Linked DNA regions of Arabidopsis thaliana. The protein of the gene in region 2 binds, or shares a complex with, the protein of the main gene of each other region. Each region holds a gene or a part of one and is shown on either strand. Other genes may lie near its edges.

Region 1 (7,775 bases), on a different chromosome or scaffold from region 2:
TTTGTTGGTTATAGTTAATTGCTTAACTGTACTGTATATGTTCCAAGTTAAGTAAATGTCACAAATTGTTTTTTTTTAAAGTGGAAAATAAATTTAGTAGATGGGACACCGAACACAGTTAGAAAGAGTGAACAAGAAAAAGACATTTATTAATGCTTATTAAGACTGACTTAACTAAGATAAAAAAAGAAAAAAGAAACAATAAAGGGATCCATCCGCTCATAGCCTGAGGTGATCACTATAAACTAGAAAGCTAAACATAAAAGCAAACTCTGCAACATAAGGATTTACAGATGCTATAACTGAAGAGAAGTTGGTGTAGCAAGTAGAGAGAGATATCTATGAATCTGTTGGCTCGGTTTTAAGGGGTGCGGCACCACCTGAGGACGATGCATCGCTTCCATTTTGGTTTTGATTTTGGTTTTGGAGGTTAAGGCTATTTGCTACCATGGAATCGCTGACCATCCCTGCTTCTGCGTCAAAGTTTAGCGTCCTCTTGCGGTTGCTGCTGCTGCTGTGACACCAGATGAAATTGGATTGGGTCAGTGATTGGTTTTATGGAAGAAGCTGATGAGAGACGTGATTTTTCTACTTACTTGTTCAAGCGGTTGTTGATGGCAGATAGGTCCTTTGAAGGGCTCTGGTAAGCATGTGTACTCTCTCCAACACAAGCATAGTAACTCTTTGTACTGTGTGAAATAAGAGCATCCATCTGCAAACACACAACACATGGAAGGTAACCAAACAATCTTGTCACCTACCTCCTCCTCAAGACTTAGTCATATCATGATAAAGAGTTAAGCACTATGATCTTCTTTACCTTTGATCCCCGAAGAGGAGAAACATAAACATTGTGCACTGCAGATACTTTTTTAGGGGACATGTCTGGAACACTTGGAAACACAGACACCTTTGGCGATCCGGGACATTGACCTGTGAATCCAAAATAAGACGATCATTTAACTTAGGGACTAAATTGATAGACAAAGCTTACATCTAACAAGTATCTGGCCTTTCTTAACTACCTTCAGGCTTATTATTGGCTTCCACAGCCCGGTCGTTTCTTACAGGACCTAGCTCCACCAGCAGCGGCTTTACGGCAGGAATAAATATTTCATTGTAGAATGTGATGATGTCAACATGATCTGGCCCTATTCTCTGTTCAAGTCATTGTCACAAATTTAGTCTTCTCCACCGAGTAAAGAAACTTTTCAGCATAAGGTTAAGAGTGTATATATACCCCTTGACGGCGACATTGTAACGCATCCACATAAACGCTGCGGAAAACTAATGGTTTACACTGTGGTTGCTTCCGGTAGTTGTATATGATTTCCCTGAAAGTCAGGCTCATTTGGGATATCTACAAGGTGATTCATGGAAAAAGTGTAAGTGTAAGAGAAGCCATTGTAAACCAGATGACATATAGTTAAACCCTTTGAATCACACTACTCACCTTGGCCACTCCGTAGAAGCAACAGAGAATGATCTGGTCAATGTGTCGACTGAATAAAAGAGAAGTCCGCTGAGCAAGTACATGTTGGAAGAAACAATACACACTCTCCCTTATTTGCTGTGAAAGTTGTAGTCTTTCCACCATTCCATTGATTCTTACAGCAGCCAATTTATTAATCTGGGAAGAGCCACCACATTTAACACAATTCCCAGCCGAAAATGAAGAATCAATACCGTGTTTTGTAGTACATCATCTAACCAAACGATTAGTAGTAGATCCAAAGATCTCACAGACCTACCTTTGTGAAGAAAATATTGATTCCAGTTTCTGCACAAGTTTCTCCTCCACCTCCTGGGTTGGGCCGTGTTGGGCTGTAGACATAAATCCGAAGAGGTTACTTAACAAGTACAGGGACAACTAGATAGGTAAACTAACTCTCCATTTCTACTCATAGTTACTCAAAATGTACCTGGCAAATGCAGACTGCAACGGAGGTGGCAGCATCTTGGATTTAACGTTGCCTAAGGCCAACAGACGATCCTTTACTGGTGATGTAAAGGAATTGCGTTCAACTAGAATGCTGCGGTAATCAGTACATAATCTTTTGGGCGATCTAATCCCCCCATTTTGTCCTATATGGCAGCAAATTTGACAATTTTTGGTAAGAAAATCATACCATTAACAACAGGTTGGAAAACTGCTTTAATTCAGAAACAAATAAAACTACCTGGACAAGTTTCATGCTTTTGTACAGATGATGCATGATTTGCTCCGTCAGAGAAATTAATAAGTGCTGCGATTGCATCCAGAGATGGCATTGGTTCAGCTAGTAAACCGAGCTGATTTATCTCCAATGCAAGCGATGGCCTGGCAACAATCAGAGAATTGTACATTGAAGAGCCTTTCTCCCATACCATACTCTCTAGAAGCCGTTCCTCCAGTGAATTCAGATGTCGTCTCAACTCTCTAGGCAGAGAATCTTCATGTCGTATGAAACTCTCAATTACCTTGCTGAGATCAAAGGCTGTGATCCCAGTCCTCTCCAGAACAGCTGGGAACAACATTGTAATTGTTTTGTGGGTAGCCAGTACCAATTCAGCTGAGCAAGCAAGCATGCATCTATGGAACCTCTCATTTGTCAATAAAGAGTTCAGATTATTTGCATGCAAAATCTGAGCTTCTGCTTTACACATTGCCTCAAGAACTCTGTAGTATAACTTACAAGCTTCTAATCTGCGCTGCTCTGCCCATATGTCATCCATCAGGTCAACAGCTTGCAAACTTCCACCTCCACATTGGGCACCAAGGGAACTATTTGGGAAAATAGCTTCCAATATTATGTGTGCTCTTCGTGTGACGTCATTTGTTATATCCCTATCACATGATTTAAGGAAATGTTCCAACCCAGGAGAAGGTTTTGGCAGAAGCGGGGATATGACAGTCCTGAGCCACTTGGCAGTTGTCATTGCTGTGCTCACTGGTGTTGCTGCCAACTTGGTAGCACCGCTAATACCATTTGTCTTAGCAGCAGGCGACTTATGAGGAGAAAGTGGGCTTATAAATGTCCTTGCAGGTGAGCTCAAAGCATCAATTTTCCTCTTAACACCAGTAATATTAACAGCTCCTGCAGATAAGCTTCCAGATCCAAGTAAGCTATCCTCTTCATTGATGAATACCCTCTCATCAAGTTCGCCTTTACCATCATAGTAATCCTTTTCAAGTGTAATTAAGCTAGTTGAGATGGACGTCTCTTCCAGTAAATCCTCAAAGTAGGTCAAGCCATCTGCAGTAAAACACCATATAGATTCGAAGAACAATCAGGCAACTGTTCAATGAACTCACATGATTCTTTAATTGAAGAAGGAAAATGATTTTAGACCAACCTGGGTCAATATTATCTAGCTTGTCAGTTTGGCACTCAGATGCTGGAGATGGCTTTTTCTTCAGTATGGTTTCTACCAAATTATTTGCCTTGTCAATTACTATCCTCAACTCATCTTCTGAGGCGTCATATATCTTGCAAAGTGATGCAACCAAGTCTACACCTTTGTCACCTTTCTTAACTGAGATTCATCACATAAATGAAAATAGATGATAAACATTCTATGGTGCCATGGTTATCGGGATAGAAGAAAAGATAAACACTCACCAAAGCGAGAAGAATCTTGGATGCTGAAATTTCTAAACCGACAAGGAACATGTATGATCAAAATAGCCTGATAACATGAAAAGGAGTTAGCCTATACTTCAATTGCGTTATATTAAACGAAGCATCTTTCAAGTAATAATGTACAGCAAGACTAAAATGAATGAAAGATTAGGGAGAGCTCCACAGGTAGTCACTAACCAATATAGAAACTACGCCATTTGAGCATGTCACGAGGTCCTTAAATCGACTAAACGCATGGTTTCGGAGTGCCAAAAAGAGTAGCCATCCAAAACGATAACTATCCAGCAAATAGGTAGAAGAGTTTGCTGAGTTCTTTTCTGCGTTTGCATCATATGTCAAAAAGAATTCCCGGAACCCACGTTTGTAGTATCTGTTACCAAGGAAAGGTACCAAAAACATCATACTTTAACATGTCCTTAAAACAATTCACAGAATATAATCACATGAAAACCAGAAATCTGTAACTCTAAATCTTAATTAATTTAAAATTGAAGGAATATTGCAAGCCCATATTCTGATTATTGCATAGGAAGAAAATTTGCTTCTAAGTTGCAGGTCCAAAATATGAAATCTATGTCAATAACTATTCTTACACAAAACAAAGATAAATGTAAAATAGGAAGGGAGCTAAACTCACTTGCTTAGAAGGCTAAGATGCACAAAGTTAGCCTGCACCTCCTTTGCCTAGTAAGTAAAAATTAGTTAATAGAAGCATATTTAACAATGATATAATAGAAGTAGAAGTATATTTAAAAGATGTTAGTCAAAACCTGAAGTCTGTTCTCCCAGTCTGCGCCGTAAAGTTCACCCAGTACAGATCCAGCCTTGACCACAAACTGAGGTAACTCTTTAAAAAAATCCACAATACTATAAACAGAAAAGAGGAAAATCGTCACTACAAATGAATTTAAGAATGACAAGGAAGGAAGAATTGAACACTACTTACTTTAGCTTCAGAGCCCTCAGTATCTGACATAGATTAAACTCATTATCACCAGACACTGACAGACCATCCGCTTCTTTTCTCACACTAAGCCTCTTCACTGAATAGAGAATAAACGCAAACCAGAACCTCTCTACTTCTTCCCGCTAATAAGAAGAAGAAAAAAGGATTTAGTCATAATGAAACCACAGTTAACTGATAAAAGAGAAGTTAGAGGAAAAATGTATTTCACCGTTCCACTTCCAATGTTAGACATGCTTGCTGACAAAATTCGTTTGGTTTCTGTAAACAACTTCAAAGCTTCATCGCAAGTGCTCCCATCAAGAGACAGAACTTTCTGCAATAAGAAATCAACTACAGGGATTAGAGCTAGTCCTCAAAATTTCCGAGAGAACTCAAATGGTATCTTCAACTAAACAAATGCAACTAGATCAGCAAAGAGAAGAGTAAACCTCGCATATGTCCAAGAGAGAGGCTTCGCTTCTTTTCCCATTTGGTTCAATGGGCGGGGTCACTGGAGGCTGAACTTCTTCCATAGTCTCCAACGCAGCTGAAAACATGCAAAATCAAGCTAATTTTACTTCCAATTAAACTGCTAACTGAAGACGAAGAAAAAGGGACTTTTCAAGCAAAGAGATTTGTTAATTTAATCACACTGAAATTCAATAGGAACCATGCCCAACCCATTCGGAAGAACACACTAACAGACATGAGAAAACAAACTCCCAATTTCCCAAAACATGGCAGAAAGACAAAATTTGGGGGAAAAAAAGAAGAGAAATTGGGGCATAATCTAAAACCCACCACTCCGGAAAAATTTTACCCAGATGTTATCTTAAATATTCATTCAAAGTTTTTCTCTTTTTTGTTTTTGGAGAATTCTCTCACCAACTTACAATCGAATAGCGAAATATCAATAGAAAATTTCAGATAAACCACCTAGAGGATAAGATTTCAAATCAAAGGATAGGCAATAGAGAAAGATCTTACCTTTTTGTGTCACAGATCCCAATACCAGACGTCGCCGATTAAAGCCTGAGCAGAAGATCTGATTTTTAAGAAGCCCGACTTCTAACGCCTCCTCCAAAAAATTCGACAAATTCAGAGGAATCACAGAGATCTCCGAAAACCCTACAAATTTTCCCTCCTCTCAGTGTCTCTCTCTATCTTCACCTGACTTCCCTCTTCTCTCTCTAGAATGGGGTCTGATTATGCGGCAAACCCTAAAAAAGGATATATCTCGCGCGGGAAAAACAACACGGAGAATACATACACATACGTATACAATTATATTCGCGCGCTTTCAACCACTATTAAATCGACACGTACCCATCTGTGACCCAATTTTACCGCCAAAACTTACTTACTGTTGCGTGAAACGCTGAGAGGGAAAGATTCGCCGTCACGGCGGGGTCGAAACAAACGGAGTGGGCCATTAACGCCGTCTGGGTTTTCGTGACCGCGACAAAGCCTCGTGTGAGTTATGATTGGGCCCACCCTTAATACGATGCCGTTTCTAGTTTAGGTCACGCGGGAAATTACATATTTGCCATTGTAGAACGTTTGGTTGCAGAAGTATGAGTGTCCTATCCGCGGATGGATTCAGATTAAGTCTTCTTCGTCATCTTCGAGTGTGAGTGGATCCAGAGAGAGAATTAGATATTTCCGACACGAGGCAAATTCCTAGTGGCTCATGGCGTCATCATCTGATCACACGGCGAAGATAATCGACGGCAAGGCGATTGCTCATACCATCAGATCAGAGATCGCCGAGGAAGTTCGCGGTCTATCTGAGAAACACGGCAAGGTAAACGCATCTTATGAATCAGTGTCCTAATCTTGACATGTCTCTCCTTATAATTCTCCGTTCTTTTATAAGATGATAGCACTATTGAAAATTTACTCTCTTTTAGCTTTATGGTTTAAAATGACTAGATTTAAGCAGCTATGATCACAACCTTCTATTGAAAATGCTTAACAGGGTCAAATGTAAGCTCCATTTTAGTTAGATCACTGTTATTTTGTTTCGCTGGATTTTTGAGCTGCCTGCATTACTTCAAGTGGCATACTATCTTATTTATACAGATAGTGTGTGCTAAGCTTATAATGTTTGATATCATTGTAATAAAATAGAAGGAACGAGAGTATGTGTAATAAATGGTTTAGTGCGTTTGTTCAGTTGCTTCAGTTGGACCCCTTTATATAGTTTCAAGAATGTACGAGATTCAATCGAATCTGATTTTACCTTCATGCAGGTCCCAGGACTAGCTGTAGTTATTGTTGGGAGCCGAAAGGATTCACAGACCTATGTGAATACGAAGAGGAAAGCGTGCGCTGAGGTTGGGATTAAGTCATTTGACGTGGGCCTACCAGAGGAAGTTTCTGAAGCTGATCTTATTAGCAAAGTTCATGAACTAAATTCAAATCCGGATGTCCATGGTTAGTTGTGGCGGTAAATAATACTTGATTTTGTATGTCTTCTCGGTTATCATTAGTCTAAACTATTAAGGATAGATAGAAACTTTAATGTCTATGCAAGTCTTTCGTTTTGGTATAAAGCAAACATTCCTTGCTCTCCTGTGCTTATATAAGCTTTGGTGTTTGATTTGCAGGCATATTAGTTCAACTCCCATTGCCGAAACATATTAATGAGGAGCATATATTGGGTGCAATCAGCATTGATAAAGATGTCGATGGCTTCCATCCTTTGAATATTGGTAAGCTAGCCATGAAAGGCAGAGAACCCCTCTTCCTTCCTTGCACCCCAAAGGTACTTCTCCTTTTTTTGCATATAGACTTCAGTCTCTTTCAAGCGAGAAATCTCAGTGTTCTGTTTTTCTTCTGTATCAACTATGAGGTGATTTTCTGTGTGTGCAGGGATGTTTGGAACTCCTAGCTAGAAGCGGCGTAAAGATAAAGGGGCAACGAGCAGTTGTTGTAGGTCGGAGTAACATTGTTGGTTTGCCCGTTTCACTTCTTTTGCTCAAGGCTGATGCTACTGTCACAACTGTACATTCTCACACCAAGGATCCTGAGGCTATCATACGGGAAGCTGACATTGTTATTGCTGCATGCGGACAAGCCCACATGGTGATTTTCATACATTTTCATTGTCATTTAGAAGATAATTTAGTCTACCTCTTGTAGATCAATGTGAATAGTTTACAATTCAAATATACTATCGTTTTGACATTTCAGATTAAGGGCAA
Region 2 (7,533 bases):
CATCTATTAATTTTCTTGAATTTTGTCTAACTTAGTGTGTGATGATTGATATAAATGAACCAAAGGAGGATAAGCATGGCTGGTCTGAGTTCGAAGACTGTACCTCACCTTGCAGACGCTATCCATGCTGTTGTCACCAAAGCCGTCTGAGAAACTGAACACCACCATGACACCAAAGCTTCATAATAAAGATTTTGTTCTTTTCTTTCTATTATAGCATTTCCGGCAGTGACAAGATAAATGTCGTTACTATTATTATTGTTTCATCCCAGTATCAATAAAGTACGCAAGAAAGCTTTTGTGCTCTCTCTTCTACTATTGCTTACAACTCTTTTTTGGTTTCTTATAGAGTCAAATGTTTAAGAGAAAACATTTGAGATTTAAGCTGGTGAACTTGAATACAGTTCATGTAGAATCTGAGGTTTTAGCATATGACGGAATTGCAGAAACTATTTAGATTAAACTAGCAGAGAACAAGAATAAGTTACTGCAGTTGGTTCGTTTCACAGAGTATACGGACGTGTACTCATTGCAGGCAAATGAAATATGTATATATATATTGAACACAGAATCTACATAAATTCACTCCAATTGATCCATTAAAAAGAAACAGAGAAAAAAAATTGATCCAGCCAGGGATAATTCATAAAAGATGCACATACATATTTATACATTGTTCATGTATGGTGCATTTTGCATATTATGTATAAGCTTTTGGCATTTTACCTACATCCCTTCAAGAGGTAGGATGAGACTTCTTCTGTTGCTTTGATTGGAGACTCGCAATCGTTGAAGTCCAGCACTCGACGCTCCGCCTATAGATTGAGAAATGTTCAAAACACAAAATCAATGGAGCACAAAACATTTTTCTTTGTTTCTAGAACTATAATCTCAAAACCGTCTACTTAGAGAGTGAATGATTTGTAGAGTATGTATATATACCAGTAGAGGATCATTATTCTCTTTATCCAATTCCTTCTTCTGCCTCGCATCATCATTAGTAGGTGAAATTGAAACCTCCATTGCATCTGCAAAAGCTGCAAATGCACTTGTATGTTCATTTATCTGTGTCATCACTCCTATGCTCTCGTAGCTTCTCTCCCCAGGACTGAAAATGTAGCCCATGTCCTGAAAAAATAAATACAATTAAGTTGCCTAAGGATAACATGTCTATATATTAAAAGAATTTGAAATTATGCACCCATGAAGTAAAAATGTTGAATATAGGATACAAGGATCTTAAGGCATTATCAAGTACCTCGATAGTTAAATCTGTGTCAAACCTTGGGCTGGGCAAGAGAGAGTTTATGTAAAATGGAGATTTCCAGGCTGAGGGAGATTCAAGACCTCTCCTGAATGGAGTTCCACAGAATCTGTAAATGGAAAGAAGAAACAAAATCATTGTAGCAAGAAATGAAAGCAAAAAGAGGACAAGGAATATTTTAGTAAGGGTGGTATAGATGTACATGCTAAAATTCTCATTGCTTGTCCCATTGTCAACAAGATGACCCTCCTTGTTTCTCGCTCGAGAAGGCGAATTAATCACTAAACAAACACTTGAAGGGGAATGATGTTCTTTGTTAGACGTAGCCATGAGAGTTCTTTGCAACTGATTTCTTGGGGTTGAAACTTGCGCCTTCTCTGCTTTAGTAACTGACTGACCAGGAGTAGACAGGACTGGCTTACCGGTATTGTGCTCAGAAAGAATACCAGAGAAAAATTCAACCTGCATAAGATTTGATCCATCATAAAGGTTATGTATGTCAGTTACATCTACAATCTATTGCTACAATGACGATTAAAACTCACCAAAACAATGAAGATTTTAACACAGGTGACAAAATGACATGATTGGCGACAAAATCTAAAGGAACTGAGTTTGTGTAAACCAGTAGCACAACTTATATTCAAATGGTTAAAGGAAAGAAAGAGACTTACATTCTCAACATCTTGTTCAGAATCATCCTTTTCCCTGACATTTGCCTCCATGCAAATTTGGTCTACTTTCTCAAGCGATTTTCTGATATGCATGGTTTCTTCTGGCATTCTGTGACTAAAGAGTGAAGAAGGCTTGCCACTCCATTCTTCACCGTCTCCATTCAAAATGTGAAAGTGGTTTTCTCTATCTCCATGGATGACACCAGTGCTATTTCCAAAATTAGATTGCCGATTCTCAGTCTCATCAAACATCACATCTAAACGTGAAAAGTCTTTTGCCAGACTGGCTGCTATATCAATTTCAAGCTTTTTATCACTTCTTTTCTCAGATAACGGTGTCAGCAGATCACGGGTCCGTTTCCTAAGGATTGACTGTGCACCAACCAACGTCTTTTTCCCAGTGGGAGATTCCCACAGTCGAAGGGGACTCATGCACGTCATGGTGGACATCAGTAGCTTGCGTATGCCAAGTGGGCTATAATCGTGTAGAGGATCATTTTTAGATTGTAGAAGATCACAGTTAAAAACAGGTAAGTCGAAGCTTGGGAAACCAAGACTTGATGATGCCCCCATATCCTCATGATGCTGCTCGTTTGTCATGTTTGGCTCATGCTTAGGTAGAGAGTGTGGCCTATCTTCTGCCAGAGAAGCAAAATCATTCACTGGAACCAACTTTTTGGGATCATTCACATGATATGATTGATCTTCTTCGCTGGAGTTATTGGTCCCTTCATCAACACAAGTGGAGCTTGATGGATCACCGATGCATATGAAGCTACCATTTCCATTTGTTGTGCACTTTGGTTCTACCTCAAAGGGATGACATATCAATCCAGATGACTTCTTGCTATACTTGTCTGGTGATATGATTAAGGGAGCTGGCCGAAGAGTTCCTTTTCCTGAGGCGGCCGTTGCAGTGAACCTTGAAGAAGAGCTCTGCGTAGGAGATTTTGTAGCTTCTGATATCTGTCTGTCTGAAGCTGATGAATACAAGATAGGATCTCGACGGTCTACCTGGTTAAACTCGTTTGGCTCTTGGGTCAAAGATCTAGAAACACTGTGCCCTTCACTCTCTTGATCAGGGAAAAGTACCCTGCAACATTCCGTTTCAGGTGTCAAAACGTTTGCTGAGTTGGTGTAAGTAGCCACATCAATATTTAATGTGGAGTTTGGAGCTCCCAGAGTAGATTCCTTGCTCTCCTTGGTGTATGGCATTGGTATTTCTGACATATTATGTCTCATCTCGAGTGATATATCTGATAGTTCCTGAAAATCAAATTGGTAATCCTGGCTTGGAGAAGTCGAGACATTATGATCAGGAAACTGTGAACAGTCTTCCATGTCATAAGAGACTTCGGAGATGGAGACTGAGATATCCTCCAATTCCGGATAGTAAAACTGCTCTGAATGATACGCAGTTTGCTCATTCTCTTGAGAGTTTCCACAGGGGTGGAAATCATGCCCAATATTGATAGTTCCATTTTGAAAGTCTCTTGCAGATAGTGAGCAGCCAACCATGCTTGAATTTTGACGGCTGTCTATTTCGTTCTCTGCCTGTCCATTTAGGCAGCCATTTCCATCTATATTACTTTGCATAAAAGTTGATTGTAATGTAGAACTTCTCTCATAAGGAGCTAGAGGCATGGCTTGGTACTGATCCAAAAGGCCAGACGACATGTAGGAATCAAGTTTCTTCTTGACTGAACTGTGCCAGTGATTTTTAATTCCATTATCCGACCTGTTGATAACATAGCAGAAAACTATATTGCTAGAACAAATAGAAGAATACCTTTAAGATTGAATAAATATGTACGATGATTTTTCAAATAACAATAGAAATGAGTACCTTCCAGGCAAGAACTTTGTTAACTCAGCCCATCTATTACCATATATTTGATGAGCACGAATCAGAAGCAGCTCTTCTTCTTGAGTCCAAGCTTCTTTGTTTATGGCAGGATTGAGATGATTGTGCCACCTATATCAGTAACAGCCTTCACAGTTAAAATCTTGAAAAGAGGACAAAAACTATATAGTGCTAGTAAAACACTGTTGTTAGAGAAATAGCTGTCTCTATAAGCATACCTCTCTCTACATTGCTTTCCAATACGGCCAGGTAAAAATCGAGCAATAGTGGACCACTTCTTCGGCCCATATTTTTCGATTAACTGAACGATCATTTCATCTTCCTACACACATGTCAAACGAGAGCAATAAACAGTCATCAGAGATGTTTGCAAATTCAAAGCAAACAGTGCAAGATGCACATGTTATAGAAATAGTGGAGGAAAAAACTATGTCACCTCCTTCGTCCAGGGCCCTTTAACAAGTTCAGGATTAAGGACCTTTTGCCACCTGTGGAGGCACTGGACATCAGTTCGATCCTTGAAGTATTCAGCTGAGAGTTAAGAAAAGATGTGACATGCATTTAGACAAGGAAGATTACAGTTCACTTCAGTAAATGAATATAGAAAGGAAAGAATGTCAACCTATCTTCTTCCAGTTTTTTCCTTTGAAACTATGGACAGCTTTTCTCAAGATCTCATCCTGAGAATATGTTTGGTTAAAATGATTTAGCAAATATGCAGATCATAGAATGTAAAAATGCATATATCCAAATGTCTACTTCTTGTATCTCTCATGATCAATGATATCATGCAAATGAACAAACACAGGGCAGAGTTTTGTTGCATATATCAAGAACGTGAGACCAGATTAATTGGCTACATGAACATAGGATTGGAAAGAAACTTATAAGAAGAAGCTGATGGAAACATAAATTTCACCTCCTCAGCTGTCCATTGGCCTCGAGTTGAACGTCTTGCAGGGCCACTAGTCCTCCTGTAAAATCCACACAATTGGTCATGCAACTCAATTCTAGGTGTGACAAACATGTCAATCTAGTAGGATATTGTGGCAAGCTAACAATTTATTAGTTAGTAAGATATGAGAAAAAAAGAAGCATACCCGTGACGCAATTTCGGGATCCGTTCCTGAGGGGTTGAAGACTCAGCTTCCATAACTAGTCAATGAAAATGCAAAAATAGTCACCCCAATTCCCATACGTTGCCTTTCTTCTCTGCAATGTTGTAACTCCAAAACATTATATTTCAAAACTACTATTCCCTCCTTTGTACCATCTCACAATCTTCCTAAGATAAATTGTAAAGAAAAAAAACACTAAGGATTCAGCTCCAAAAAAAGTCGGTCGCTAATCAGGACAAAACATACTCGAAGCTTGAAAATAATTACAATGACTACTAATTGTGAACTTTTGTTCGCAGTCATTTTTAAAAAGAGCAAACTATTTAGATCAAGCAGACAATAAATTCAAAATCAAATCATACCCAAACCAACCTAGATTCAAATATAGAACCATGGAGTCATAAAACAAACCTATGCGAGCTTCAGAAATGGAAGTGGTTCATAAATCGGAGAGAGACAACGACGATACCCAGAAACTGGAGAGACCAAAATGCCCAAAGTAAATCCAATCAAAAACTAGAAATCTCCTCCAATCGGAGATAAATGTTCACGATCTGAGTTAATAAAGAGAGATTAATTGAAAATTTTCCCAGAGAAGATAGATAAAAGAGAGAAATCTAAACGGTCGGCAGAGCTATTTCAAAACAAGACTGGCGGAAATTCAAAAATGTTAAAGTCTCCTTCTTCAACAAACCCTATACAAGTCAATAACGTTTGGTTTTTTTTTTTTTTTTTTTTTGAGCGGCTCTCAGTCTTAATCTCAGCCGTCCATTTTAAATATTTTCGGTCACGTGTCTCCTATCTTTTTTTAGTATTTAACGGACATAATTATTTAGTTTCTTATCCTTTATTTTCCCTTCTTTTTCCCTTTTTTTCAAATTTTCACTCAGATTTATTTAATACCCTTAGATTTCCAAGTACACCAACAGTTGGATTATTGATTCAAATCACTTTAGGGGCCACCATAATTATTTCAAATCATATATCATCAACAAGCCAACTATGGTCGCTAAAAAAAAGTAGTCTAAGCACTAGTGACTAGCCCCGCTAACTTACAGTAATAACCCGATAGACCCACTGCAATCACGAGACAGGACTGTTTAAATTCAACCCGCAAGTTTTAACAATAGCAACTATGGTCAAGAATAAAGTGATTCCAAAACCCAACCCAATGCAGAGTAACACATGAAGCTTTATGGGGTAGTAAACAAATTTCAGGTTACACAGCAATGCAGAGTAAACCATAATTGCACCAGATCACTGGTTCACCTGTGTCATATATAGAATATAATGCTCTCCTTTTTCCCACAGATCAGATTCAATCCTTTTGAAACATTTCAATGGACCAAGGAGTCCAAGAACCAGATTAGGGTTTTAGGTATTCAAGATTTTTTTAAAGAAAACATAGAACCGGACAACCATCAACATCATAGTTAAGGCGAGTAGAACATCATAAGCCTTCTTTGAAGGACGGTACCAGATCATCTCTGGCAGAATGTTACCGACTTGGTTTGTTTTGTTTCTCATTTCTTCAGAGCTTTTACATGAAATCGTCTTCAAGTTCTTGAAGCGATTTGTTGCTTGAAGCAATGTCTTTGTTGGATGTCATTTTATCAGTTACCATTAGTCCCTTGTAACTCCTCATCTCTGATTGCCTCTCCTTCTCAAGCCTATCTATCTCTTCACGTTTCTTCTGCAAAATCCAGAAACAACCGAGGATTTCAGTCAAAACCCTAATCAAAGACGTTTAAGATGATAACGACCAAAAACAGACACTGACCTTCTCCCTCAGATGTTGTTTCCTCTCTGCCCTTTCTGCGGCATTCACTGCTTCTCTCTCGGCTTCATCAACACAGTTATGAACAATCAAATTATTTTCATAGATCTTGAAGTTATACTGACTGGAAAAACTACAGACACTTAACTGACACTTCATCAGCAGGAAAATTGTTAAACGAGAAAGATGTATGCATGATCAATCTTCTACCTATTAGAATCTGAGGAAGAGCTCACAAAACAAATACTAACCTCTCAGATCAGGGGTTCTTTCAACTTTTGTTTTGTTCAGTCTGTTAACTATTTCATTGACTCGCTTCTCCACTCTGATAGTCCGGACCTGAACGAAACAAATATGAGTTAGGTATCAATATCATCGAAGCTTTACAACCATACTTTGAGCAGTTTATGTATGCGCAACCAAAATTTCTTTAGAGATGAAGAAGCTTACCATCTTTGAATTGTGGAAACCAACTTGACCAACATCCATGGAGGCAGTTTTCTTCAAGTTGGACCACGGAGTGTACACAACATCAACGTTGTTCACCTTGTTGCCTGGCACATAATCCCAGACACCAGTCGGTAAGAAAACAGAAAAAACCTATATGTGCCCTCCTTCTAAAAAACAAACTGGTACTCTAAGACTAATGGTTATGCAAATGTTAAGTTCACGACAGGTAGAAAAAAAGATTACCTTGAATGGAGTTAGCTTTCACAAGCTGAGCACAGTCCTCCAGCACACCTTCACTAATGTCATCAAAACTTTGGCCTCTATGAAGCCTCAAGTAAACATGAGCTGACGACATTTTATCCACGTGAAACCTGCATCAAATGAAA
Region 3 (5,561 bases), on a different chromosome or scaffold from region 2:
ATATAGCAGAATTATATCCAACAATGTATATTAGGAAAATTATCCTCTGAAAGGCATTCCTTTTTTTTTAGGGTACGTTTTACTGTTTTAGGCAGTTACTTCTAGGCAAGAGTTATGCCATTTAACGAAAAGTATTGCTTGGGATCCAAACAAGCACCATATTTAGGGATCCACCAAGATATCAATGTCCAATGTGGTCATGATTAACTCATGAATGACATCAAACATGATATGATCTAACTCATGAATGACATCAAGCTTTGTAAAGTTGATACTTCTTTTCCACAAGATATTTTTCTCTACTAGCGTTCAAGACTTCGAGCTTTGAAACTAAATGTAACAAGATGAGAGATTAACTAGTTTTCAATTTGGAACCATTCGTTTTTTGACATGATTCTGACAGAAGTAACGTTTGATATTGTCCAAATCAGGTGGTTCGTAAATGATGCTTTGTTTCTGTTTGAACATGCAAATTGTAACCTATGGACCCAAAGTGTCAAAAAGATTAATTTCAAAGTTCATTATAAACACATGTTACAAAAACAGATGTATGCATTGACATGCAAAAGGCCATTAAGTATAATTATATATCTAATTAGAGTACAAGTTTTTTCACATAATTGCCACATCCCTTGAATGACCTTAAAATATTGCATCTTTTATTTTTATAAGGAAAAAAATCTATTAGGATTTCAGGCTCAAAAGGGGTAGTAAAATGTAACAGAAAATTCATCCTCATCCTAGTAATTGGGAATTTGAGGTTTCAAACAACTTTGTTTCTCAGCTGTTGAAGTTGCTCCATAAATCTGTGAGGCTCACCTCTGCATCTGACTCGAACCAGTAATCTGCTTTTAACTGGCAATACACAACCAAAAATTCAACTTAATCGCAACATACGAAATGCGAGACTGATCCCAAAACCCATATCAGTGGATCTAAATACTTACATCAGTATCTGAAGTTACTATTTTCAAGGAAGGAGTGTCTACTCCAACTGGAGCTTTTTGATCAGACTCATTACCCAACTTGTCGCTTGTTTCCGCACTGTCTCCTTTGTATTTGCTGCGATCATGTTTGTTCCCAGTTATTAACACTGACTGACAAATATATAGATAAGACCAGACACAGAGAGTGGAATGTGTAACTAAGTACCTTAAAAGATAGACATCAATCGGCCCCATTCTACTCCTAATCACCATCCGGTACTGTTGCGGAAAACTCATCTATCGTGAACAAAAACAGATGCTTTACTTTGTGACACATTATATTACAACTGTACAGCAAATATGAAAGCATTAAAAACGCTCACCTCATCAGGATCTGGAACTTCGATGTAACTAGCTGTAGGAGCTTTAATTGCTAGTAATGTCTGGTTCTGTATAAGGACTACCAGTTTAGTATGTTAAATAACTGAGGAAAACATAAGATGATTTTCAAGAACTAGTTGGGGAGGACCTGAAACCGTGGGAGACTCGTTATATCTTCCTCCGTCATAAACATGTACCTGTTTATTTCCATCATTGATCTTAGCAACACTCTCGTGTATATACAAAAAGATGAAACTCAAATAAACTGACGAATACCTTCTACAGTAGTCATCTTCCTCCAAGGATCTGAGAGCTTCTTGTCGTTCCCTGGAGATACATAACATGATGATCTTCAAACCATGTGGGAAAGGAACAATGGATAAGTCTCCAAACATAATATAAGAACACAAGCAACCAACCTTATAAGATCATCCAACCTGCTTTCCTCAGATTGCATACTCTCTACTTCTGACTGAAAATACGTAGATATGTAACCGGTCAGTAATGGGGAATTTGAAAATAACTGTGTGAAATAAACTATAAGACAGAAAAATAATGAAATCATGAATTTGACAGATTATTTGCATAGCAGTAAGTTCTACGACAAAGAAAACACGTGAAAATGCTTGTCACAATGAACCTTAAGCCTAGAAATTTGATCTCCCAGGTCCTTTTGTCCAAGATTGTCAGCACCCCTGCATCAATAGCGCATACACAAAGTCAGACGAACTCAAGCTATATACGCTGCAATGTATCCAAGAAAGAAAAAATTTGTGTACTTACTTCCAGCGGATATGATTCTTTGTAGTTTTCTCTATCAATCCAATTCCTTCAAGGACATTTGTAATATCATATATCCTTCTTTTTTGTACCTGTTAAGAGGGATCGCAGGAACACGTAAGCACATAAGAGGAGATCCTAACAAGCTGATGAAGATAACTAGGGAGATATCAAACAGTTAAGGCAAGGGTTATAAAGGTGAGTGATCTTTTTAGTCCACGTTCTTAATTAGATCTTCTACGAGTTGAGACATACATTTTTAACTTAAATATTAAGATACATTTAGCATACCTCCAAAACAACTGCACAATAGTTAAGGTCAAGTGTTCCATCCTCAGCTTCCTGGATCAACTTCACGAATTTTTTTGTCAACAACCCTATCAAACAAAAGAGACACCGATACAATTACAGTTGTTATCTCCATACAAACATGAACCTTAGTAAACAGAACTATTAGTTACCTAAAGAACTGTCATAACGGCAGTTAATACTAGCTCCATTTAAGCCACCATTTTGCACTTCTGCACAAAAAAACTCATTCACAACAATGCTGAATACAAACAGATTCTTATTTTCAATACATATCACATTCTAAGAGCTAGCCAAAGAGATTGATCAGAAAAAGCAGATACCGCCATTCGCCATTCGTTTCCCAGCCTTTAACAGTTTAGTACCACCCTTTGACTTGTTGTATACACGTTTAACATTTTGAGGAGACGACTCTTGTTTCACTATTACTTTAGCTATATCTATGCTTTCTCCTCCAGACATGTTGGCAATAGATCCAAGCTGAATTCGATGATTCTTTCTACTCTTCTGCTGCAAATTAAGAAAAGATCAACTCAATAGCATTACAATCACCAAAACGAATCTAAATTCGCAAATTGAGATTAGAGAATTGAAAGCTAGAGATCCAATTTTGGATTAAGTTTCCCTTAATGAAACCAAACTTCATTCAATTTTTGTTTTCGCGAAATTTGGGAATCAGAATTAAACCTAGCTATCGCAAAATCAAGTTCGGAAATGGAATCAAAATCAAAGAAGGAATCTACGAGGACTTGAGTAAACGAAGAGACTCACAACTTTCTGAGTGATTTGAGAGTAAGAATCGTCCCAGTGAGGTGAAATTAGAGGAGACAGTTGTGAATTCGGAAGCGATTGAGAGACTGAGAAAGGTCGATTCGTTGAAGAAGGAGTTAGAGAAGAGTAACGAGGATCAGAGGAAGAGATAGATTGAAGTAATTCGAAGCGAAAAGGAGATCGGTGATGGTAAGAGAGAGTCGGATCTTCGCCTGAGTTTGATGTCGCGGCCATGTAACGGCGGTGTATCTCCGGTGGTAGAGAAGATGGGATTTAGAGTGATTTTTTGAAGCGATTTTGGAGAATCGTGATTTAGGTTTTTGTGGGGGAAGATGAAGAAGGAGAAGAGGGAAGATGGAGAAAAAGATGGAGAGAGAAGAGAGGAAACAGCGGGAAGAAGAGGAAGGGTAAAAGTGTCTTTTTGTTGTATTAAAAAGATTAATATAAGAAAGAAATATTGGAATTATGTTAAAAGAGCGGTGGGCGAAAGAAGTTGGAGAGAGTTTCGAATTCTGCCTAAGCCCCGCCTAACTTCTTCCGCTTATTATTTTACTCTTTTGACTATTTGTTGGGCTTGGTCTTGGGCTTGGTCTTGGGCTTGAATTGGGCTTAATAATGTTACGACGTTTACATATCTTCTAGAGCTTCATACTTTGTAGCTTTATGTTAATGATCGACATTCATGGTTCACGAATCTATAAATACGGAGTCTCGGCATTGCTAGATTGAGTTTACAGGGGAGTCCTAATCTCCGAGGTCCATCTGCACCAATAAACTCTATGAACGGCCCAAATTTGGTCCAGTTATCATACCAAAAAGTAGTTTAGAGTTCATGGTCTTTGCCAAAAGGTAGAAATTAGAATGAATTTCTAAACCCATGATTCATTTTGTTTCTCTGGTATCATTTTTCTAGCTTTTTTTCTTTAATATTTTCATAAAAACAATTGAAGAATGAAGAGTGCTTCTGCATAGTTGAGTACTTGAGTAAGTGATATCTAATTAATATCAAATTATGTGAAAATTATACCATCTTTTATGAAGTCGTACTATATATGTATATATGTTTTTTTGTCTATCTTAATATATGTTTATGGGTCTGATTGGTAACCAAAAGTTGTTAACTCTACTACAGGTATTAAGCTGTACAATAAACTAAGAGTAAAACTTTGTAACGCTTAGTACCGTTTTGTAAAGTGGTTACCAATCAAAACCTATATTAGGTTATAAGGAAGCGATGGGTGCATTGACGACAAACACACAAACTTGGTGTATAGCGCTACACAAGGGACTGTTTTTTTTTTCATTGTATTATTACCAATTGCATCATGTAACAAAAATAGGAATTCAAAATACTGAATTAATTAATCATGATTTTGAATAAACAAAACATATTAAAGGAATGTAAATATAATTGAGTTATTTCAAAGAGTTTTCGTATCGCATAAGTTTGATACCTTAACTTGTTTTCGTAAAACTGGACAAATATGACGAGAAAAAATCCCTTCATGATATCATGATGGCTTAAATCAACGTAATTTCCATTAGTTTAGATCTGAGAGACTGAAACATTGGTGTACCAAACAATGTAAAACACACATTTTCGTCCCTATGGCATGTGACAACTTTTTAGCCAAAAAAAAGAAAGAGTATTTTATTTAGAAAAATATTTGTGAAGACATATTATCCACATTTTTAAAATTTATTGTAGCCATGGATCAGAAAAATTATATTATATTTTAGTTTAACTGTGACAAACAAACAAAACAAGATTATCCATATAAATGTAAGTTCGTCTAGATATTCATACAGAAAAAGTTTGTCTAGTTGCATTTTTGTTGTCCTAAATTTCAAGTGCACTAACGCGAAATCTACTTCACTTGTCATGGTGCAGTAAGAAAAAAACAGTAAATAAAAAATGAAAAAAATATGGAAACACTAAAAAAGAATTTACAATAGTCGATAGCATTTTTATTTGTTTACTTTGGTTCCTTTTTTCTACTTTTATACAAAAGAAAAGGTGAGGAGGAATTTATAGCCTCTAAAAGTGATCTTACAAGTTATCTAACGTTGTTTTTTTGGTAAGAAGTTATTTTTATTATAACTCCTACCATTTAGGTAATTAACTTCCTTAGGCTTAAGAGTTTTCTACAACTATTAGATTTTAACCCGTAGTACACCATGAAGATTTTTTTTTTTAAAATTAGTATATATAAAAGTTTGAAAATTATATCTATCTATAAAATATTTTTATTTTATATTTTATAATTCTTATTAAGTAACGTTCTTCCAAACCCGTCTCGCCAAACCTGTCCTATAAAAAAAAAAGACGTACACCGCTAATTTAAATAAATAATTAAAATAAATATTTTACAGGATTGCAATTGTATTTTAGTT
Region 4 (6,430 bases), 3.7 Mb from region 2:
GTCACTTTGCAACTAAACCCACACTTGTAGTCTCTGTAGAGTGTAGTTCACCTTTTTGAGCATTCGTCGCTATGTTTCCACATTTAAACCATAACAGTTGGCCCAAAGAAAAAGTGAAAGCTAATGGGCTTTTTATGTTACTAGGCTTAACCCAGAAAATGACATACAGCTAGCGATACGACATTGGTTTAGCTCTGCAAAACGCTCTATAGTGTCTGTCTGGTCAGAAATTCTTCGACTCACTTTCGGTTTCTGATGTTTTGTCTCTCTGATTGAAAAAGGTAAAATCTCTTGAATCTATATCATATCGCTAAGCTTAATTTGCTGGCTAGGATTTTACCTGATTTTTTGGGTATATAGTGATGATAGAAATTTGAAGTAATTTCTCCAGTTTTCTCATTGATTTAGGGGTTTTAAATGTAGACTTAGTATTCATGAATGAGTTGATTTCTAATTGATATTATCATGTTAATCATCTTGAAGAATTGACCTTGAATTGGTGGTTCATAGATGTCTCATCTTGTACAATTTATTTGCTCGAGGATCTTATGATTCTTGGACATAGTGGAACAAAGATAGCTTTAAAAATGGACGCTGAGATGATTACTTGGTTGATGTATAATAGTTTGGTCTCTTAATTAAGGTTTTGATGGTCCTTAAGGTTAGTGTATAGCTTCTATAGAACTTTTTAGTCTCTCCTTTTAGATGGTTATGACGAATTGACGATTGTGTTATTCACGAGATAATTTGCATCCGAACATGTAAATGTTACACACTTGCAATATTGGTGTGCATGGAGAAATTATAGATTGTGTTAAGTGTTAATCCCAAAATGCATCTGCTAAAAGTGTTGCATAATCATCTTGTTGACTAGATAACTTGTTTTTGTGGTTTGGACAATGTGACGATACTATATATGATGTATGTAAAGATCGGGTTTTGCAAGATGGGAAACAAAGCTACAACGGTGAAAGAAGAACGCGAAGAGATCCATTTGAAGATTGTACCTCCATTGGACAAAGTTTTTCTGCGTTGGCTCGCAAGAGATCTCCAGAGAGTTCATGGATTCAAACCGAAGAACAACACTCGTGCGATCACTCCTCCAGATAGCTACATCGAGTTTATGCGGTTAAATGGATCGCTTGATGTAGATTTAGATGACCCTGATCTTGCCCATTTGTTCAAGTAAAAAGGGGTTCTTCTATTGTTGTCTCTGTTTGTTATGTATGAAGCTTTCAAAGTCTTAGTATCTTTTTTGATTACTCATACAGTCATACTTAAAGCTTGTGTTTTGGAAGCTCAGTCTATAAATATATATTATCTTCTCTAAACAGTATAGCATTCATAAGAGATCCAAGTGTCTGCATTCAGACGACACATGTTTCTATTGTCTTGGTGCTATGATTTGGAATCCCTATGTTTCGAGGTTCCATTTAAAAAAGTTGTTAAATGATGAGACACTCATGAGCATAATTTTCATCAATATAGTTTTGCCTCACCTATGAATTAAAAACAAAAAAACGTATAAGTTCGACAGATTTTGACGATAATTGCTCACACTTAACGCGTGTAACGGATGCTGCAACAGTTTGATGAAATTATTATGCTCCACTTCTTAACATGAATAAATCCAAAATTCATTTTTTTCCCCTCAATCTCAAGGAAATAAAACTGTATCCAAATTAGTTACATAGCTTTATTAACTTCGTTGACTTTAAAAAAAAAAAAACTTACTTAAAATTTTATAATTTTGTATTATATATAAAAATAGGATTATTATTATTTAGTAGAGAGATATTGGTAAAAAGATTTGTGTACAAAGAGAGAGATAAAGAGCGCTAATTCCCTCCACATCAGTATTCAGAACCAAACGCAACTCATTCCCTCGTTTTCTCTCTTCCTCTTCCACCGTCTCTTTTTTTTTTTTTTTTTATAATCCTTCCTCTTCTTCATCTTCTTCTCCTCTCCCGCTTTTTTTCGATTCGCCGATCTCTTCACATTCTCTTCCCGGAATCTCCGTAATTCCCGCCGTAGATCTGCTTCTTAATCGTTATTGGGATCTCTGCTTACCGGAGATCCGAGTTTCCGTGACAATTTTCGCCGTTTCTTTTTTTTTTTGGGGGATTTTTTATCGAGATTCGTTCTTATGTCTGAAGAAGTACCTCAACAATTCCCATCTTCTAAGCGGCAGCTTCATCCTTCTCTTTCTTCTATGAAGCCTCCTCTAGTTGCTCCTGGTGAGTATCACCGGTTTGATGCGGCGGAGACTCGCGGTGGTGGAGCTGTTGCTGATCAGGTTGTCTCTGACGCGATTGTGATCAAATCTACTGTAAGTCTTTTTTCTTCTCAATTTTGCTTGTGAATTTTGCTTTATAATTCTCGTGTTTTCGATTGTGTGTGAGGTTTGGTTTTATTGATTATGATTTTGATGATGTCGTTGCTTTAGATTTTGATGAGAATTGTGTCGGGATCTGCTTCTGTTGGTGTTAATTGCGTTTGGTCTCTTTTGATTAACCTTGTTTGTAGTATTGGAATTAGCATTGCAAGTACTTATTGAGTAGTTTAGTTGCTGGACTTAGGGTTTGTGGTGTTACTGTTATTGCTATTTAGAGCAGATTCATGCACTTTTGTGTTTATGTTTAGTTAAATTAGTTTCTGAATTTTGCTATGTTGGAATTGGTAAAAGTTGTGTCTATGCTTTTAGATTTCAGCATAGTGACAGTATGATGCTGATAGGATTTGATTCTGTTCAATTCGTTGATGTATTTAACTGTTCAATTTTGGTGACTTTATTGGCAGCTGAAGCGTAAGACAGATTTGGTAAACCAAATAGTTGAGGTCAATGAATTGAATACCGGTGTTCTTCAAACACCTGTATCAGGGAAAGGGGGGAAAGCCAAGAAAACTTCTAGGTCTGCGAAGTCTAATAAGTCTGGAACGCTAGCTTCTGGCTCTAATGCAGGTGAGTTTGGTTCTAAATGCTCTGTGTTAGTATGCCAATGAGAAATATTTCTTATGTGCTCATCTGAGCTAAATCTTCTTTAAAGAGTGGAGATATTGCAATGTAGTGAGAAGGATCTTTTGTGTTGGCAGGTTCTCCTGGAAATAACTTTGCACAGGCCGGTACTTGTCGATATGATAGTTCGTTAGGTAATAACTTATTTCATTAACTAATGTTTAAAAAATGTACTTTTGGATAATAAGTTTTTTTAATGATTTAATCTGCTTCAGGTCTTTTGACAAAGAAATTTATCAATTTGATAAAACAAGCAGAGGATGGTATTCTTGATCTAAACAAAGCAGCTGATACTTTAGAGGTGACATATTTGAACTCTAGACTCCCATATTGATGTATTACTTTCTGTCAAACTTAGCTGTATGTTCCTGTTGATGCAGGTACAAAAGAGAAGGATATATGATATAACCAATGTGTTAGAAGGAATAGGTTTGATAGAGAAGACGCTTAAGAACAGGATTCAGTGGAAGTAAGCATGTCTTAGAACTGTCAAATCTTGGATTCCTTCCATTTGATGACTCATGTGTGAGCGACAGTACTCTGAATTTTCTTGTCTGTCTTAGGGGTCTCGATGTCTCAAAACCAGGAGAAACAATCGAAAGCATAGCTAACCTACAGGTACAGAACATGCCTATATATTCTTTACCTTTTCATTGCACATTTCACTGCGAACTCTGTTATGCAATGCTCAGTATTATCACCAGTTTTATTATTGTTTTCACGTTAAGGGTATATCTTAGCTTGCATTGTCTTCTTGAACATCGTATGAATCTGCATTAGTATGATTCTTGTTATGCCTGTTTTCTGAGAGCTAAATGTGTTAGGAGGTAACTAGGATACTAGTAAATTTACCATACACACAAACATCGATGACATGTAACCACAAGCTCTGTTTTGTATACCCGTACTGGCACCTTTGAATGATGAGTTTCTGTTTTATGTTTGAACCTGTTGAATAAGTGGAAATTGGTACTGCAGTTTTTCTTCGATCTCAGTCACTTGCATTGATTTCTTGTTTTGGGTTTTTGGTTCGAAAAACTATTCATGTTTTATAATTCCTGTTACCAATCTTACAGGATGAAGTACAAAACCTCGCAGCTGAGGAGGCAAGATTAGATGACCAAATCAGGTATTTTCGCAGATAATTTTCCTTCCCTTTTCTGCTGTTTTGTATCATCTTTTTGAGAGTCGACCTGGTTGCAGAGAATCACAAGAAAGATTAACAAGCTTGAGTGAGGATGAAAACAACAAAAGGTAAGCGTCCCCTGCTATTTCTTCTGCCGAAAGGTACAATAAAACATATCTGTTTGTTCTGACGCTCCACTTTTTAGGTTACTGTTCGTCACTGAAAACGACATTAAGAACCTACCATGCTTCCAGGTCTGGTCTCCTTCTAGTAATTACGTGTTTCTCTTTGCCTTGCATTCTTCTCACTGGGGAAACATGTTTTTGTGGTGCCTATTTTAGAATAAGACGCTGATAGCTGTAAAGGCACCGCATGGAACAACTCTTGAGGTTCCAGATCCTGATGAGGTAAGCTTAAGAGCGCACAAAACCAAATGAGCGATGCACTGTCTGTAACGATTCTCACCTCTTATCCTGCCATTAATCAGGCTGGTGGTTATCAGAGGAGGTACAGAATCATTCTGAGAAGCACAATGGGACCAATAGACGTGTACCTAGTCAGGTAACACTGTCCTCAAACGTTATGCTTGCCCTGGATAAATCTGTAACATGGAAGTGAGACTGACATTTATATTGTGCTTTTTTAGTCAATTCGAAGAGAGCTTTGAGGACATTCCTCAGGCTGATGAACCTTCAAATGTTCCTGATGAACCCTCTAATGTCCCTGATGTACCTTCAAATCTTCCATCAACATCTGGTCTCCCTGAGAACCATGATGTATCTATGCCGATGAAAGAGGAAAGCACCGAAAGAAACATGGAAACACAGGAAGTTGATGATACGCAAAGAGTTTACTCTGACATCGAATCTCATGACTTTGTCGATGGTATCATGAAGATTGTTCCTCCAGATTTGGATGTAAGTCCCAACTGCTTCCTCAGCTTAAAATTTTCACCAATGTACATAATCACAGTCTGGAAAAGTAACCATATCTAAAAAATCATGCTTGACTTAATTCATATTTACCTGTATGTTACATTATATACAGATGGGTGTAGATTACTGGTTTCGATCAGAGGTAGGCGAAGTCAGCATCACAGACATGTGGCCAGATGAATGTATCCTTGATTTCTATCACTTTCTGTGATTTAATCTAATCTCTCTTTGAGCTTTTGAGTTTTTTCCTCCCCAAATATGATATCTGTTTAGAGCTCCTTGACTCTTTCATCATTAGCTGGACCAGACTGGAACCAGATGATTACATTTGATCAAGACCACGCTGGACCGAGCGACAACAAAATCTTGGAGCAGCCACAAACTCCATCGAGCCCAACACCAGAAGAATCCACTGCTACGAGATCACCTACAGGTAGCTGAAGTTACCATACCACATTACAAGCACCACCATATATCTGTACATAGAATCTGATTTCGGTGAAACCAGAGTTAATGTTGTACTTGTACAGTAGCTGCATTGCATTATCATAGAATAGAGATTGCAAAATAAAAGTAGAGAAACCAACCCCTTCGTTGTATTCTTCATTTTTTTTCTTTGTTAGCTTCTCAGGCTTAATATAGAATTAGCCTTAGCCCATTGATTTCTTAATATTGGTCTTGTTCATGTGAAACTGCAAAACCTTTTAGAGTTGTAGACGGGTGCTTAGTAGTTTTACATGCTCCATTTCCGGTTTACCAAAAAGGTAACCAGATCGAAACTAAAACATATTTCCGTTCATCAAAAATCTTGACGAAAACATATTGGTTCGGTTGTGGTTTGAGAGATTTCTTTTTGGTTCAAATCGGTTTCTATGTCCAATCCTTTGATATCACTCGAGATAGTTTCTTACAAATGATATCATATATAACTTTGAATTCACCTCAAGATGGTATTATTTTCCTTAAAAAAGAAATCCATCAAAATTGTGCATCTCCAAAGCAATGAGCAATGCTGAATCTCCAAGCTAAGTTAAATGAAAAAAAGGTTCCTCTTTTAACAAACTTTCCCACACCAACATCCTCACTCAATAATCTCAACTTGTTTTCTCTTCCTCTAGTAAAAAAAAAAATGTCTTTCAAGAAGATGATGAAGTATATACTCAAAACCATATTCAAACCCATTTTTATGGCATGCGGTTGCGGCTCTACCGTTCCACCTTCCTCTCACAGCCACTACACCCCGGGACCACCGGTTTCTCCCACGGTTTTACGCAGCCCATGTCCTAAGATCGATGAGAGCGTCGCGATGGCTAAAGAATCAATCAATCCGTTCGAAGATTACAAGAAGTCGAT

The links.
Region 1: MYB3R-4 (region 2) and RBR1 share a complex: the UniProt entries of both Arabidopsis thaliana proteins name them as parts of the DREAM-like complex.
Region 3: MYB3R-4 (region 2) and ATE2F2 share a complex: the UniProt entries of both Arabidopsis thaliana proteins name them as parts of the DREAM-like complex.
Region 4: MYB3R-4 (region 2) and E2F1 share a complex: the UniProt entries of both Arabidopsis thaliana proteins name them as parts of the DREAM-like complex.

What each region holds. Positions count from the first base shown.
Region 1 is NC_003074.8:3,913,332-3,921,106, forward strand, and holds RBR1 (retinoblastoma-related 1), read right to left. Parts: upstream 6,029-7,775; 5' UTR 5,557-6,028; intron 5,117-5,556; 5' UTR 5,103-5,116; coding exon 5,019-5,102; intron 4,904-5,018; coding exon 4,799-4,903; intron 4,713-4,798; coding exon 4,570-4,712; intron 4,491-4,569; coding exon 4,394-4,490; intron 4,308-4,393; coding exon 4,261-4,307; intron 3,994-4,260; coding exon 3,801-3,993; intron 3,670-3,800; coding exon 3,603-3,669; intron 3,517-3,602; coding exon 3,337-3,516; intron 3,237-3,336; coding exon 2,181-3,236; intron 2,086-2,180; coding exon 1,923-2,085; intron 1,825-1,922; coding exon 1,752-1,824; intron 1,631-1,751; coding exon 1,454-1,630; intron 1,361-1,453; coding exon 1,241-1,360; intron 1,159-1,240; coding exon 1,026-1,158; intron 934-1,025; coding exon 821-933; intron 713-820; coding exon 597-712; intron 515-596; coding exon 340-514; 3' UTR 18-339; downstream 1-17. Other genes in the region: AT3G12290 (Amino acid dehydrogenase family protein), read left to right, coding at 6,260-6,373, 6,822-7,005, 7,179-7,336, 7,444-7,656, 7,765-7,775. UniProt on the Arabidopsis thaliana protein: Key regulator of entry into cell division. Acts as a transcription repressor of E2F target genes, whose activity is required for progress from the G1 to the S phase of the cell cycle.
Region 2 is NC_003076.8:3,677,874-3,685,406, reverse strand, and holds MYB3R-4 (myb domain protein 3r-4), read right to left. Parts: upstream 5,660-7,533; 5' UTR 5,332-5,659; intron 5,088-5,331; exon of another isoform or gene 5,015-5,087; 5' UTR 4,956-5,014; coding exon 4,903-4,955; intron 4,777-4,902; coding exon 4,722-4,776; intron 4,483-4,721; coding exon 4,425-4,482; intron 4,334-4,424; coding exon 4,239-4,333; intron 4,125-4,238; coding exon 4,021-4,124; intron 3,914-4,020; coding exon 3,785-3,913; intron 3,677-3,784; coding exon 1,939-3,676; coding exon of another isoform or gene 1,774-1,938; intron 1,727-1,773; coding exon 1,467-1,726; intron 1,374-1,466; coding exon 1,259-1,373; intron 1,129-1,258; coding exon 943-1,128; intron 816-942; coding exon 723-815; 3' UTR 523-722; downstream 1-522. Other genes in the region: ASP3 (aspartate aminotransferase 3), read left to right, coding at 66-150; AT5G11500 (coiled-coil protein), read right to left, coding at 6,461-6,613, 6,701-6,762, 6,949-7,036, 7,148-7,251, 7,391-7,518. UniProt on the Arabidopsis thaliana protein: Transcription factor that binds 5'-AACGG-3' motifs in gene promoters. Involved in the regulation of cytokinesis, probably via the activation of several G2/M phase-specific genes transcription (e.g. KNOLLE). Required for the maintenance of diploidy.
Region 3 is NC_003070.9:17,632,777-17,638,337, reverse strand, and holds ATE2F2 (winged-helix DNA-binding transcription factor family protein), read right to left. Parts: upstream 3,642-5,561; 5' UTR 3,402-3,641; coding exon 3,168-3,401; intron 2,907-3,167; coding exon 2,720-2,906; intron 2,609-2,719; coding exon 2,549-2,608; intron 2,465-2,548; coding exon 2,379-2,464; intron 2,180-2,378; coding exon 2,091-2,179; intron 2,003-2,090; coding exon 1,948-2,002; intron 1,780-1,947; coding exon 1,727-1,779; intron 1,635-1,726; coding exon 1,584-1,634; intron 1,505-1,583; coding exon 1,456-1,504; intron 1,376-1,455; coding exon 1,310-1,375; intron 1,224-1,309; coding exon 1,153-1,223; intron 1,063-1,152; coding exon 948-1,062; intron 856-947; coding exon 781-855; 3' UTR 529-780; downstream 1-528. UniProt on the Arabidopsis thaliana protein: Involved in transcriptional repression. May act by repressing E2F-regulated genes in mature differentiated cells, but is not an antagonist of E2FA.
Region 4 is NC_003076.8:7,358,603-7,365,032, forward strand, and holds E2F1 (E2F transcription factor 1), read left to right. Parts: upstream 1-1,932; 5' UTR 1,933-2,146; coding exon 2,147-2,329; intron 2,330-2,799; coding exon 2,800-2,962; intron 2,963-3,093; coding exon 3,094-3,150; intron 3,151-3,231; coding exon 3,232-3,317; intron 3,318-3,396; coding exon 3,397-3,485; intron 3,486-3,579; coding exon 3,580-3,634; intron 3,635-4,092; coding exon 4,093-4,145; intron 4,146-4,219; coding exon 4,220-4,270; intron 4,271-4,347; coding exon 4,348-4,396; intron 4,397-4,483; coding exon 4,484-4,549; intron 4,550-4,629; coding exon 4,630-4,703; intron 4,704-4,788; coding exon 4,789-5,059; intron 5,060-5,189; coding exon 5,190-5,259; intron 5,260-5,375; coding exon 5,376-5,518; 3' UTR 5,519-5,903; downstream 5,904-6,430. Other genes in the region: AT5G22210 (aspartyl/glutamyl-tRNA (Asn/Gln) amidotransferase subunit B), read left to right, coding at 947-1,189; OFP10 (Ovate family protein), read left to right, coding at 6,087-6,430. UniProt on the Arabidopsis thaliana protein: Transcription activator that binds DNA cooperatively with DP proteins through the E2 recognition site, 5'-TTTC[CG]CGC-3' found in the promoter region of a number of genes whose products are involved in cell cycle regulation or in DNA replication.